Linked DNA regions of Xenopus tropicalis. The protein of the gene in region 1 purifies or fractionates together with the protein of each later gene. This does not show direct contact. Links are inferred from orthologs where the notes say so. Each region holds a gene or a part of one and is shown on either strand. Other genes may lie near its edges.

Region 1 (6,403 bases):
GTGTAATCAAACTAAAGATTGTGCTTGTACAACACAGCCCACATTGTCATTCTGTAGTAACAGTACATCGTTACACTTTAGAGCAGTACAGTTTGCAATTAATTACTTCTATTACTGCTGTTGTCGCCTGGTAAGTGTTGATTTTCAGCTCCTAGGGAGCAAAGGGGCATTAGGTCCCAGGAAAGTACTTGGCAGTGCCATGTTAGTTAGAATTGGACTAGACCAATCATTCCCATTGCTGACATATTGTGGGGATTACAACACAATGGAAATGAAAAAGGAAAGCTCTCATGCCAGTCAGTTTAAGAAACGGATGCATTTTGGGAAAGGCTATATGTAATTTAACACCTCTAAACCAGGGGAGAAAAAATAAAAAAAATAAAATAATCTCATAACAGATTAATACAGTCAAATACAAAAGGAAAAAAAGGATGGATAGAAGTCCCTTACATATATCATATATGTAAAAATGCACATTATTTTTAATTGAAAGTTGGGATTTGCTTATTTAATGCAGCATGGAATTGCCTAGCCAGTATCCTAGCTGTCTGTAAACACTGTCCTGCTGTAAATTCACTTTCAAAAGGAAAATGTGCTTTACCTGGACTTGCTTTACCTTGGAAGTAAAAAAGGGACTTAGAAAGCTGGGCAGAGCATGAGGAGAGTAACATCCCTCCGGATGGAGGCAGTGAGTGATACGGAGAGGGTCATCTCACTGTGTCTGCTACTAGCATATTTAAATAACCCCCAGGTAACTCACTCAGCAGCCCTTACAGAAAGCTGCTGTGCCAAAGCAATCTTTTTAGTGGTGTAAGGATACAATTATCTTTAAAACACGCAAGAAAATTAAATGCCAAAAGTATTAAGAGGACAACTTTGACAACGTTTTCCATTTATGCCCCCTTAAATATGTTATAAGTTTGGTTAAAACACGAATAACTGAAAAATAAGTGATTGTGCCACTTTTTACAAGGTCTTGATTCATTCATTTTTTTCATTACAATTTCACTACAGGATCTTAAAGAACAAACAACTTTTCTGCTGGAGTAAACTGGGTGTTTTTAGAACAGTTAGCTGTTGAGAGGCTTTCCAGGGCTGCAAAAACATGAGGCTAACTCTCTGCATATATGCCACTAAATCATGCCTAGTATAACATGAGCCTGAGTTAATCATGGGATATTCTAACTAGCAGTTGCACAGTTTACTAGCAGTTGCTAGCATTTTTAGCATTGAAAACCATACATGCCCTTTAAAAACATCTGATTTTGTTTCTCTTCTTTCTGAGCCTCTTGGTTATTTCCCCTTTTATACCCAAGTCCTTTGCTTACTGTTGCTGTGAGGTTTATGCCACCCTTGTCTTTCTTCTTAAATCCAATGTTTGGAGGCTGCTTGTTCAATCTGATTCCAAATCCCTCCAGTTCATTCTCTATGATCTTCTTGTGTCCGAGTGGTTTCAGTACATCCAAAACAATAAGGATCAAGTTACATGTTCGTGCCACTAAACAAAACAAAAATACATCAGCAGTAAAAATGTGTCCATCGTCCTAGGAGACTCAATCCTCAAAAATTAAAGATCTTACCTGCAATCACCTGGCGACCACGGCCCTTTCCATCCTTTGCCCCTTCTATGATGCCTGGAAGATCTAGCAACTAAAAACAAAAATATACCATCTTTGGTCATTGAGCTTAATGTCTCCGCATTCAGAGCATATCCATCTCACAAATGAAAATGTCATATACTATCTCAAATGTCTCCTGTAGCTTTGGAGTCTAAAGGGCAACATTTAAAGCAAATTTGAGATTTCTTGGCAAACAACACTCTTGAAAAATGCTACAGAGCATTTCTAGGCTCACATTTATCATTTGCTGGTTACATTTTCTAAATTACACTCAAGTTTCACCATAGTGAAAATGCTTGAAAACATACTGCACAATATTTACACAGGTTTCTGTTGATTTTAGTAAAAAAAATTCAAAAAAAAATCAAGAAACTGTTGAGAATACTTCAGTGCAGAAAAAGTTCAGTTGAAATACACACTAATGTTTTGACTGGATTTTGACAGGTTTCAGCCTGCACTTTTTGAAAGAGAATAAAGGAGACAATAGAAATCTATTATTTAGAATGCTTGGGATTTTCTGGAAAAGGGATATTTCTGTATTTAAGTCTACTAATATAATTAAACATTTTTACCACCAATATGGATTCATACAGCTTAGTTTGCATCAAGAACAAGGTACAGTTTTATTATTACAGAGGATGTTAAATTATTTGCTTATAATGAAGTCTAAAAGAGATGGCCTTCCCATAATTCAGCAGTTTCTGTATAACAAGGTTTCTGGATAATGGAGTAGCCTTTATTTTTTTTTTTTTTTAAGATTTTGTATTTCAACTTAACCTCTGATAAATAAGCTGCTATTTTAATTATTTTATATAAGTAAAACAAACACCTGAATTTTTGCTCCTTTATATCGCACAACACCAGGAACTGTTGTTAAGGTGGTAAATTCATAGGCTGCCACTTCAGAATAAACTCCAGCCAAGTTACTGAGTAGTGTAGATTTCCCAACAGATGGGAACCCAACAAACCCAATTCGAGCATCTCCTGTCTTAGCAACATCAAAACCTAAGTAAGAGACACAAATCATACATGTAAACTGTCAGCACATATCAAAAATATCAGAAAAAATCATCATCCTTTGTGCTCTTGGCCATTCTAACAGCTTATATTACATGTGAGAGCAAAAAAAATATATAGTTGTAATAGTAAGAACTAAAGCCAATCACAGTCCCACAGATATTGTACCACTACTTGAAAATAGAACCATTAAAGCAGACAATTTATCTGTGAGCTCTGTGAGGGAGAACATAGGCTTGATTAGCAAAGGTATATTCAACAGTAGGTACCACAGTTGAGCTTATACAGGTTAGGATTTTTCAGTAATTTGAAGCACCATGCTTAAGTCTAGTAAATGACAACATTTACAAATAACCCAAACCAATAGGATTTTTTGCCATATCCAAAGGCCTTTTAAGATGTTTAAATGTAACTTTGAAAAAAGTCTTTTTTTTTTTTTTTTTTACTTAAAAAACACAGAAGTTGTACTCATTCATGTACATCTCCCCAACATTGCCATCTCCCCAACATTGCCAATGTGCAGATGAAGTAACATGCTTCTCAAAATCAGGAGGCTACTGGGTATCAAGGTGGTTGTTACAGGGGTTATACAAACATGTTTAATGATCTATGTCTTAGGTTCTCATGACTGACGCCCTACACCAAAACATAATAAGGTAGGTGCTGGATTCAGAAATGCTAATCATAGTGATAAACGTGGCACTGAGGAAGGAAACCAGGTTCCATATTTATGCATCTTGTTTATTTCAATAAGCCAAAAAGATAAAAAAATTATTAATAATGTACATGGAAACAGTGACTACCCAGTGTTAAAATTTTAGTAAAAGTGGAAGTTTGCCTTTAATTACCTTTTGGTATTTTATTAAGGGGCTTATTCCAAAAAGAATTCAAATGGAATTTATTATAAAATATATATATATATATACACACACACAAATGTTTTTGTTTTACTTATTATTTCTAATCTAGCCAGATTCAGCCTGCAAAAAAATACTTTCTGGTTATTGTTACTGGCCATGGCAATCAAAAAACAGATTCAACCAAGAGATTCTTATGTTCGATTATCTTTCTTTTCTGTTCTTCTTAAATCCCGATTTGCGAAACACAGCATGGTTGCCAGGGTAATTAGGCCCTGGCAACCAGATAGTAGTTGATATACCTTCTCCAGGTCCTCCTCCGCCGCCTCCTTTTGGGGTAATCAGCTCACGTCTTAGTTTGGCAAGACGAGCTTTCAGCAAACCCAGGTGATGAGCTGTGGCTTTATTTTTCTGTGTCCGGGCCATCTGCAGGACAGAAAGCAGGCGTGTCACTGTCATACCTGGCACAGGTTATTGTCATTATTGCCTTTATGTTATCATAAACCATGACTGTCCCACACAGCTGCTTCAGCCATAACCATTCATCCCAGTGATTATCCTTACACACGTGCTCTCAACTATGTCCCCAACAAGTCGATATGCGCTAACCCTCCAAGTGTCTCAGTCACCTCGGACTCTATCTCGGCGATCTTAGCCAGCGTCCCGCTCATTGTGCCTCTTGACTAGGTGGCTTTTCCAGCACGAATCAGTAACAGAAAAGACAGGACCTCGCAGGGACACCACTGCTCATGCGCAGACACAACAACCGGCAGGAATGACGTCACACACGTACGTTCGGCCTCTTCCTTTTAGCTGAGGATAGCCCTTCGTGACGCAGATTTTCCTACTCTATGGTAAAAGCTGTCTTACTGGACGTTTTGTGCGTCCAATCTGAAAGTTGCAAAAACATTATATAAAATATAGAAATGTATAAATGAGTATTTTTATAAAAGTGGTGTAACTAGTAGTTGCTGGACCTCACAGTAAATTGATTTTAGGGACCCCCCCCTAAACCTTGGGAATGAGCTATTTTTCATAAACATATACTGAAATAGAATATTTTATTTTTTTCATGCCAGTGTGGAGTCCTATACCTTAATGCAGGGGTAGGGAACCTATGGCTCGGGAGCCAGATGTGGCTCTTTTGTTGGCTGCATCTGGCTCACTGTCAAATCCTTAATAAAAAAAAATAATGGGGGGCGTGGCCTGTGCTCGGCGGATAGAAGACATGTTCTAAGCCTTAGAACATGTCTTCTATCTGCCGAGCGCAGGCCACGCCCTCCTCCACATCGCATCCGGCATCCTTGGCACCCACCCTACCTTGCCCCTGCGCTCGGCGGATAGAAGATGTGTTCTAAGCCTTAGAACACGTCTTTTCTCCGCCGAGTGCAGGCCACACCCTCCTCTGCTTCGCATCTGCATCCGGAATCCTTTGGACCCACCCTAACTTGCCCCGCAGCATCCGCGGCCAAATATATTGTATGGCTCTCACAGAATTACATTTTAAAATATGTGGTGTTTATGGCTCTCTCAGCCAAAAAGGTTCCCGACCCCTGCCTTAATGTGTCCTATAATGCATAAAAATAATAATTACAGAACGTTCAAAATATGCTGTCCGGGGGATGGGCCAGCACACCCCTGAAATTTTTTTCCAAAGACTGTAAGTGAATGATCCATGAGTGTGCGCCCCCAGAAGTGATATCATGTGCAAATGTGCAGCCAAAGCCTAAAAAATAGGTACTTGCACTTGTACAATGTATGGGGGAGTTGACAGCTCTGGAATTATGATAGCTCTTTTCATATACTATTCTAAAGTCGTGAATAATATAAATTGCATCTACCGACTTTACTATTTCTTCTAGGCTTGCCACCTGGCAAGTATTTTATCGGTGTGGTCGGTAAAAATGATGCTTAATGCCAATGTTATTAATAGGAAAAAAAGATAAAAATATAGGAAGGCCTGTATTTTTTTCCAGAAAATGTGGCAACCCTAGTTTTTACTAACTTTGTGTGTAATAGAATTACAGGTGTAGTTCCCCTATAAGTTTAGCAACTCTTCAATTGGTCTTCATTTTTTTTTTTGTTATAGTTGTTGAATCCATGCAGCTTTCAAATGGGGGTCGCTGACTCTTACTACACAGAGGGAAAGTTTATTGGTCCCTAAAAATAAATCAGTTGAAGTGAAAGGAGGATCCTTTTTAGGCAAAGATATTATTTATTTTTCAACAGAATATAGTGAGGAATTTTTGAAAAAATCGTTTATATAAATATTTCCAATTTTATATAGGGATACAAAATTGAAGCAGATCTTCACTAACACTAATGTAAAATGTATATCATATAGGGCCCCAACTCTAGGCAGTTTCCTGTCACAAAGTGTGTGTTTGAGAAAAAATAGAGTTTAAGATCTAATGTTGCCAGCTCTTGAGTTAATAAGGGTAAACCATAGTTTAACTGAATGGGCATTATTTCCCTTCCAGTTCAGTATTACCGATTTCTTTGCATGATATAGTAGGGTCGTAGACAACAATCTAGTTTTATTGAGTGGCAATAACTTCTCAATCTGGGCCAACAGACATAATTCTGGTGTTACAGTTTTATTCTTATTGTTACTTTTTATTACTAATCTTTCTAATCAGGTCCTCTTCTTTTCATATACAAGTCTCTCATTCAAACCACTTTGTGGTTGCTAAGTTAATTTGGAACCTAGCAATGAGATATCTGCTGAAACTCCAAACTGGAGAGCTCCTAAACAAAAAATTTAAATAAGAAACGATAAATAAAAAATGATGACCTACTGCAAACTGTCTTAGACTATTACTCTCTACATCAGTGCTGTCCAACTTCTGTGGTACCAAGGGCCGGAATTTTTCCGACCTACGTGGTGGAGGGCCGATAATGGAAGCCAAT
Region 2 (5,698 bases), on another chromosome or scaffold:
TAGTGGAGAATGGCATTATGAGCAGTAATCAGCATGGCTTTATGAAGGACAGGTCATGTCAGACCAATTTAATTGCTTTTTATGATGAGGTAAGTAAGAAGCTGGACAGTGGGGATGCAGTAGATATAATCTATTTGGATTTTGCCAAAGCATTTGATACCGTTCCCCACAAACGACTGCTTTCTAAGCTAAGGTCTATTGGTCTTAGTGAAGTCGTTTGCACATGGATAGAAAACTGGCTACAGGATCGGGTACAGAGGGTGGTTGTTAATGGCACATTCTCTACTTGGAGTAAGGTTCTCAGTGGGGTCCCTCAGGGTTCTGTACTGGGTCCACTTTTGTTTAATTTGTTCATAAATGACTTAGGGGAGGGTATTATGAGTAATGTATCAGTGTTTGCAGATGACACAAAACTCTGCAGACCAGTCAATTCTATCCAGGATGTGACATCCCTGCAGCAGGATCTTGACCAACTGGCAATCTGGGCAGCTAAGTGGCAGATGAGATTTAATGTGGATAAATGTAAGGTCATGCACCTGGGATGTAAAAATATGCAAGCCCCGTATAACCTTAATGGGACTGCACTAGGCAAATCCATAATGGAGAAGGATCTTGGAGTCCTTGTAGATAATAAACTTGGCTGTAGCAAGCAATGCCAGGCAGCAGCTGCAAGGGCAAACAAGGTTCTGAGCTGTATTAAAAGGGGTATAGATTCACGGGAGGAGGGGGTTATTCTTCCCCTTTACAGAGCACTGGTAAGGCCCCATCTAGAATATGCTGTTCAGTTTTGGTCTCCAGTGCTCAAACGGGACATTATTGAGCTAGAGAGGGTCCAGAGAAGGGCAACTAAGCTGGTAAAGGGTATGGAAAGTCTCGGTTATGAAGAAAGACTGGCCAAGTTGGGTCTGTTTACACTGGAGAAGAGGCGCTTAAGAGGTGACATGATAACTATGTATAAATATATAAGGGGATCATATAATAACCTCTCTAATGTTTTATTTACCAGTAGGTCCTTCCAACGGACACGAGGGCACCCACTCCGTTTAGAAGAAGGGAGGTTCCATTTAAATATTCGGAAAGGATTTTTTACAGTGAGAGCTGTGAAGTTGTGGAATTCCCTCCCCGAATCAGTCGTACTGGCTGATACATTATATAGCTTTAAGAAGGGGCTGGATGGATTCTTAGCAAGTGAGGGAATACACGGTTATGGGAGATAGCTCTTAGTACAAGTTGATACAGGGACTGGTCCGATTGCCATCTTGGAGTCAGGAAGGAATTTTTTCCCCTCTGAGGCAAATTAGAGAGGCTTCAGATGGGGTTTTTTGCCTTCCTCTGGATCAACTTGTAGTTAGGCAGGTTAGGTATAGGCATTATGGTTGAACTTGATGGACGTATGTCTTTTTTCAACCCAACTTACTATGTTACTATGTTACTAAAGCCAGACCGTATGTAATCCCTTTAATTTTGTTTACCAATTTTTCCTTTTACATAGAACTGAGTTTCTGCAAAGCAGAGACAAATGCCCTGGTCCCTAAATGCCCATTCCCAAAGAGTGTTCTGCCTTGGGTTAATTTGTGACTTTGCGAATCTAGCACATTCACAAGGTTGGGTTAGAATGTGTACTCAGTTCTCCTTTGCCTGCACCACCCCAAAAGCAAAGGAAAACCTGATTTATTCTAATAAACATCTTTCACAACGCACCCCCTGTCTTCTTATTCCTTTGTATACTTATTTGTAATCCTATTTTGACCCTACTGAAACCAGGAGCACCATCTACTGGGTAAAGAAGAATCACAACTACACCAATGAAATATGGCTGGTTTATAAAACCCAACACAGGAGTGGGGGTTAGAGAGATAAGATGGTTGTTAGACACACGCATAGGACTTGTTTGAATAAAACATCTTTTTAGAGGGGTTGTTAACTTTTTAGTATGCTGAGAGTGACATTCCAAAACAATTTGTAAATGGTCTTCATTTTTTATTATTTGTTTTTTTTTATTATTTATCCTTTTTTGTTCAGCAGCTCTCCAGTTTGAAATTTGAGTGGCTCTATGGTTGCTAGGGTCCAAATTAATGAGACAGGAATATAAATTAGCAGAGGGCCCATAGAAAGATAAGTAATAAAATGTAACAATAAAATTGTAATCTCACAGCAATAGTTGGAAAAGGAAAGCAAATTATTAAAAAAAAATGAAGACATTGAAAAGTTGATGCAAATTTACTATTGTAGAACATACTAAAAGTTAACAGGTGAATTACCCCTTTGTGTCAACTGCCTTCCCAGTTACTGAACGAGCTGCAGTGACCCCTTCTGCAGTAATACATTTCAGCTACATAGAGGTCCAATAAATAGTGTCTATGGCATCTTACAGCAGCCCCTCTGGCATTTGCCAGAATCCACAGGGTCTCCTATATACAGAAAGTCACTGGATGTGGAGCTGGGCGTTCTGAGCAACCACAGAGTTCGACGTGCCCACGCTGCAGGGTATAGCGGTCCATGCTCGCACATTATGGACCCAGGGGTGCCTGGGTCCAAACAACCACAATTCGAAGCGTCTTTTGATCAGACATAGGTAAATCCTTCTAATTGATGATTGTACAGCGGCAATGTTTGCAGACACACACGTGTAATCCCAATATTGATGATGGGTTTGGCTGCTGCTGCATGACGCCAGTAACTAGCACCAAAGGGAAAAGGCAGGATGAAGGAAAATAATTTTATTAAAATATTTAACATTTTGGGAGGTGTCAGGACTCATTTTCGGATATGAAGGCATGCGCTTCCACTTCCCAGTACTCCTCTTGGGAACAAAGCACACAATTTACCCCCATGTAGGTCACTTCCTTTTACATAAATCCATCGCATGCTCAGGGTCCCTTCCACAGAACTATTTCTCCGTTTTTAGAAAATCTCAGTTTCATGCCTTTTTTATATTAAATATCCTGCCAATTGTCCCAGTTCCAAATTTTCATCTGTCGCTTCAGTGCGTCTGCTGTAACCCTGCCCCCCCCCGTCTCGCCATGCCACATCTTTTGGCAAACCAGAACAGTCAAGAAAGCTTCCCAAAATGATGGACCGCTCTACAAATGGTTCTCAGGGCAGGGTTTATCTCATGGCAAAGGAAAAGACGTGGTAGATTTCGTCAGGAAAATTCTCCTGCCTTTCTACGGCCAAGAGCGAGAGGCCGGCTTGTTTGATGAGCTTCCTGACTAAATCGATATCTCTGCAGATGCTGCTGTCTACGTCATCCATGATGGAGACATCCTGAGTGACGTTGTCCTTGATGACAATGATGCCGTTTGGCCGAAGGCCCAGACTGCACCTCTTTAGGAAGTCCACTAAGTGTTCATCTGTCAGGTGCCCTGCCGTTAAAGAAAAGGGGTCAAACACCAAGCACCGTACTGGGATTTGGGCTCTGTGCATGCTGGGAAAGGTGCATCTCACGCTTACCTATTACCCACTGGATCCAAATGACATCATAGCGGTTTGGCTCTGGGGAAAACTCCTGCAGGCCGCAGCAAAAATAGTTCCCAACTCTACTGCCTTCTTCGCCAAGGTAGCTCTTAGCTTTGCTCAAAAATTCGTCCGTCACGTCCACCATGTCTACTTTTTTGAAGAGCGGCAGCAGCAGTCGCTTGGTGATCCGGCCGATGCCGGCGCCGCAGTCTAGGGCGTACATGTTCCCGGTCTTGTTTGACCCTTCCTGCTGGTTGGGGAAAATAACGTTGGTGAGAATGCCGGTCTAACCTGAGCTCAGAGGGGATTTATGGATCATGTGTGGGTAGTGGAAACCAACACTAATGCTGCAATTTACAAGCAGAACTTGCAGATTCCATCGTATCAGTAGGTACAGGCCTGGACTGGCATTCAAAATAGATCCTGGCATTCCAAGTACACAGAGGCCCAAACAGCCCCCCCCACGGGCCCAATAAATAGTGACTGTCTATGGCGTCAGCAGCCCCTCTGGCATTTGTCAGAAACCACAGATCGCCAGTCTGGGCCTGAATAGGCAGGAAGGGCTTCTTTAATGGGTGTCACAAGGATGGCTGCTAATTGGGAAGGCACTTCCCAGTGATAAAAAGTGGCATGTAAAAATATGCAATTAGAGGCTCGGGTAAAGTGTCCTTGCTAGTTGGCTGTTAATGAGTCAAGCAATAAAGGCAAAATAAAGACTAGAATTTGCACTGTCTATCTGGTATTAAAACCTACAACTCACAGCATCCTCAGCCAGACGGCTAAAGCTTTAATTCACAACAGCATAACATTACATCCTGGGAAACAGCTGGATTAGTGTGACCAGGTATTTATCTAATGGTCCCTACAGCTGCACAGTACAGAGAAGCCTATTGGGCCACCCAATACCTAGTTAATTTAGCCTTTACCATAGCTCCATTTATATTTTTGATGATAAAGCAGAGTACACGCTATTACAGAGGCAACTCCTCAGATACCAATGCAGCGCTTATTCCCTGTACCTATCAGCTTTCAGAGAGCTACTAAAAACACCCCGCAGCTATTCACATAGGATTAAAGAAGTGGCACAGGTGTCCCTGCCAGCCAATAGCTGCTCCTTCCTTTCTCCCTGCCCTCTTAACTTCAATTGCCTGGTACTATAGTAAGCAGTAGAGCAGCCCCCACAAACAATAATTAAATATAAATTGAATTTAATAACCCAAAGTAAGGGTCCTGCCTGGCTCATACCTTGTAAAGAAAGTTTCACCCCTCAATGTCTGTACATATAAAATTATAGTTACAGAGTACATGGACTGCCTGGATCAGCATCTAGAACCTTAATATATCCACCCCTGATGCTTCCAAGAATACTTACTCGCAGAAACCTCTGGAGGAACTTTTTGGAACCGTTGAGATCGATATTGGATATATGCCCGTATCCCCCCAGCATGCCGTCCACCGTAGCCGGAACATTCTTCCAATATTTCTGGGCTTTGCAGTAAAACTGGGCCTCGTCTTCCACCAGCTCTGTCGACATTATGGACTTGGATCTGGAAGCAGAAGGAAGGGATTTGCTTTCATATACAATGAACTGTTTTGCCCCAAAACACAGGTTTAATGAGACAGTTAATTATATGGAAATTCCACAGAGAGTGTAACAGACAGACAGATAGGGCTGTGTCTCTCTGACCATGGGAAATATAAATATATCACATAGAGACAGAGAGATGATAAAGAGATAGATAGATGATAGTCAGATAGAGCCATGTCTCTCGGAGACAGACAGATAGATACAGTGGATAGATAGACAGATAATAGATGATAGATACCAAGTTTAAGTCCAGGCTGGGTTTGGACCTCCACGCCGGCCAACCTTACACTGAGTGGCTAACAATGCAGCAGTGGTGTAAGCACACCCTTAAGGGCTCTGGTACACGGGGAGATTACTGCATACTGCCCAATAGTCCTCCTATTGTTTAGTAAATAGCCACACTTTTGGCTCACCTAATCAAATATTTACTCAGTCACACTTACTTCACATTTTCTATCTGTTTTCTTGAACAGGCAGCCATCTTTAAAAAGGTATTCCCCCTTCTGGGCACACAATAAGCTGTACCGTCATACTGTACAGTCTAAGGTTAACAATATGGCAGCTGTCACTCAAAATGCAATTTTGGGAGCAGACACAATATACATCTAAGTAAAGGGAAACAAATAGTGCTCGCAAACAGAATAGTGTCTG

What was found.
Region 2: the proteins of drg1 (region 1) and ntmt1 purify together in Homo sapiens (affinity purification with mass spectrometry; 3 studies listed by BioGRID and IntAct, counting the BioPlex papers as one, with this or other methods). This does not show direct contact. The link is inferred for Xenopus tropicalis from reciprocal best matches to the Homo sapiens genes DRG1 and NTMT1.

Annotation. Positions count from the first base shown.
Region 1 is NC_030677.2:152,070,820-152,077,222, reverse strand, and holds the start of drg1 (developmentally-regulated GTP-binding protein 1), read right to left. Parts: upstream 4,230-6,403; 5' UTR 4,165-4,229; coding exon 4,123-4,164; exon of another isoform or gene 4,103-4,122; intron 3,920-4,102; coding exon 3,796-3,919; intron 2,625-3,795; coding exon 2,449-2,624; intron 1,651-2,448; coding exon 1,581-1,650; intron 1,499-1,580; coding exon 1,329-1,498; intron 1-1,328. UniProt on the Homo sapiens protein: Catalyzes the conversion of GTP to GDP through hydrolysis of the gamma-phosphate bond in GTP. Appears to have an intrinsic GTPase activity that is stimulated by ZC3H15/DFRP1 binding likely by increasing the affinity for the potassium ions.
Region 2 is NC_030684.2:22,258,978-22,264,675, reverse strand, and holds the end of ntmt1 (N-terminal Xaa-Pro-Lys N-methyltransferase 1), read right to left. Parts: intron 5,007-5,698; 5' UTR 4,994-5,006; coding exon 4,832-4,993; intron 3,710-4,831; coding exon 3,454-3,709; intron 3,366-3,453; coding exon 3,109-3,365; 3' UTR 1,807-3,108; downstream 1-1,806. UniProt on the Homo sapiens protein: Distributive alpha-N-methyltransferase that methylates the N-terminus of target proteins containing the N-terminal motif [Ala/Gly/Pro/Ser]-Pro-Lys when the initiator Met is cleaved.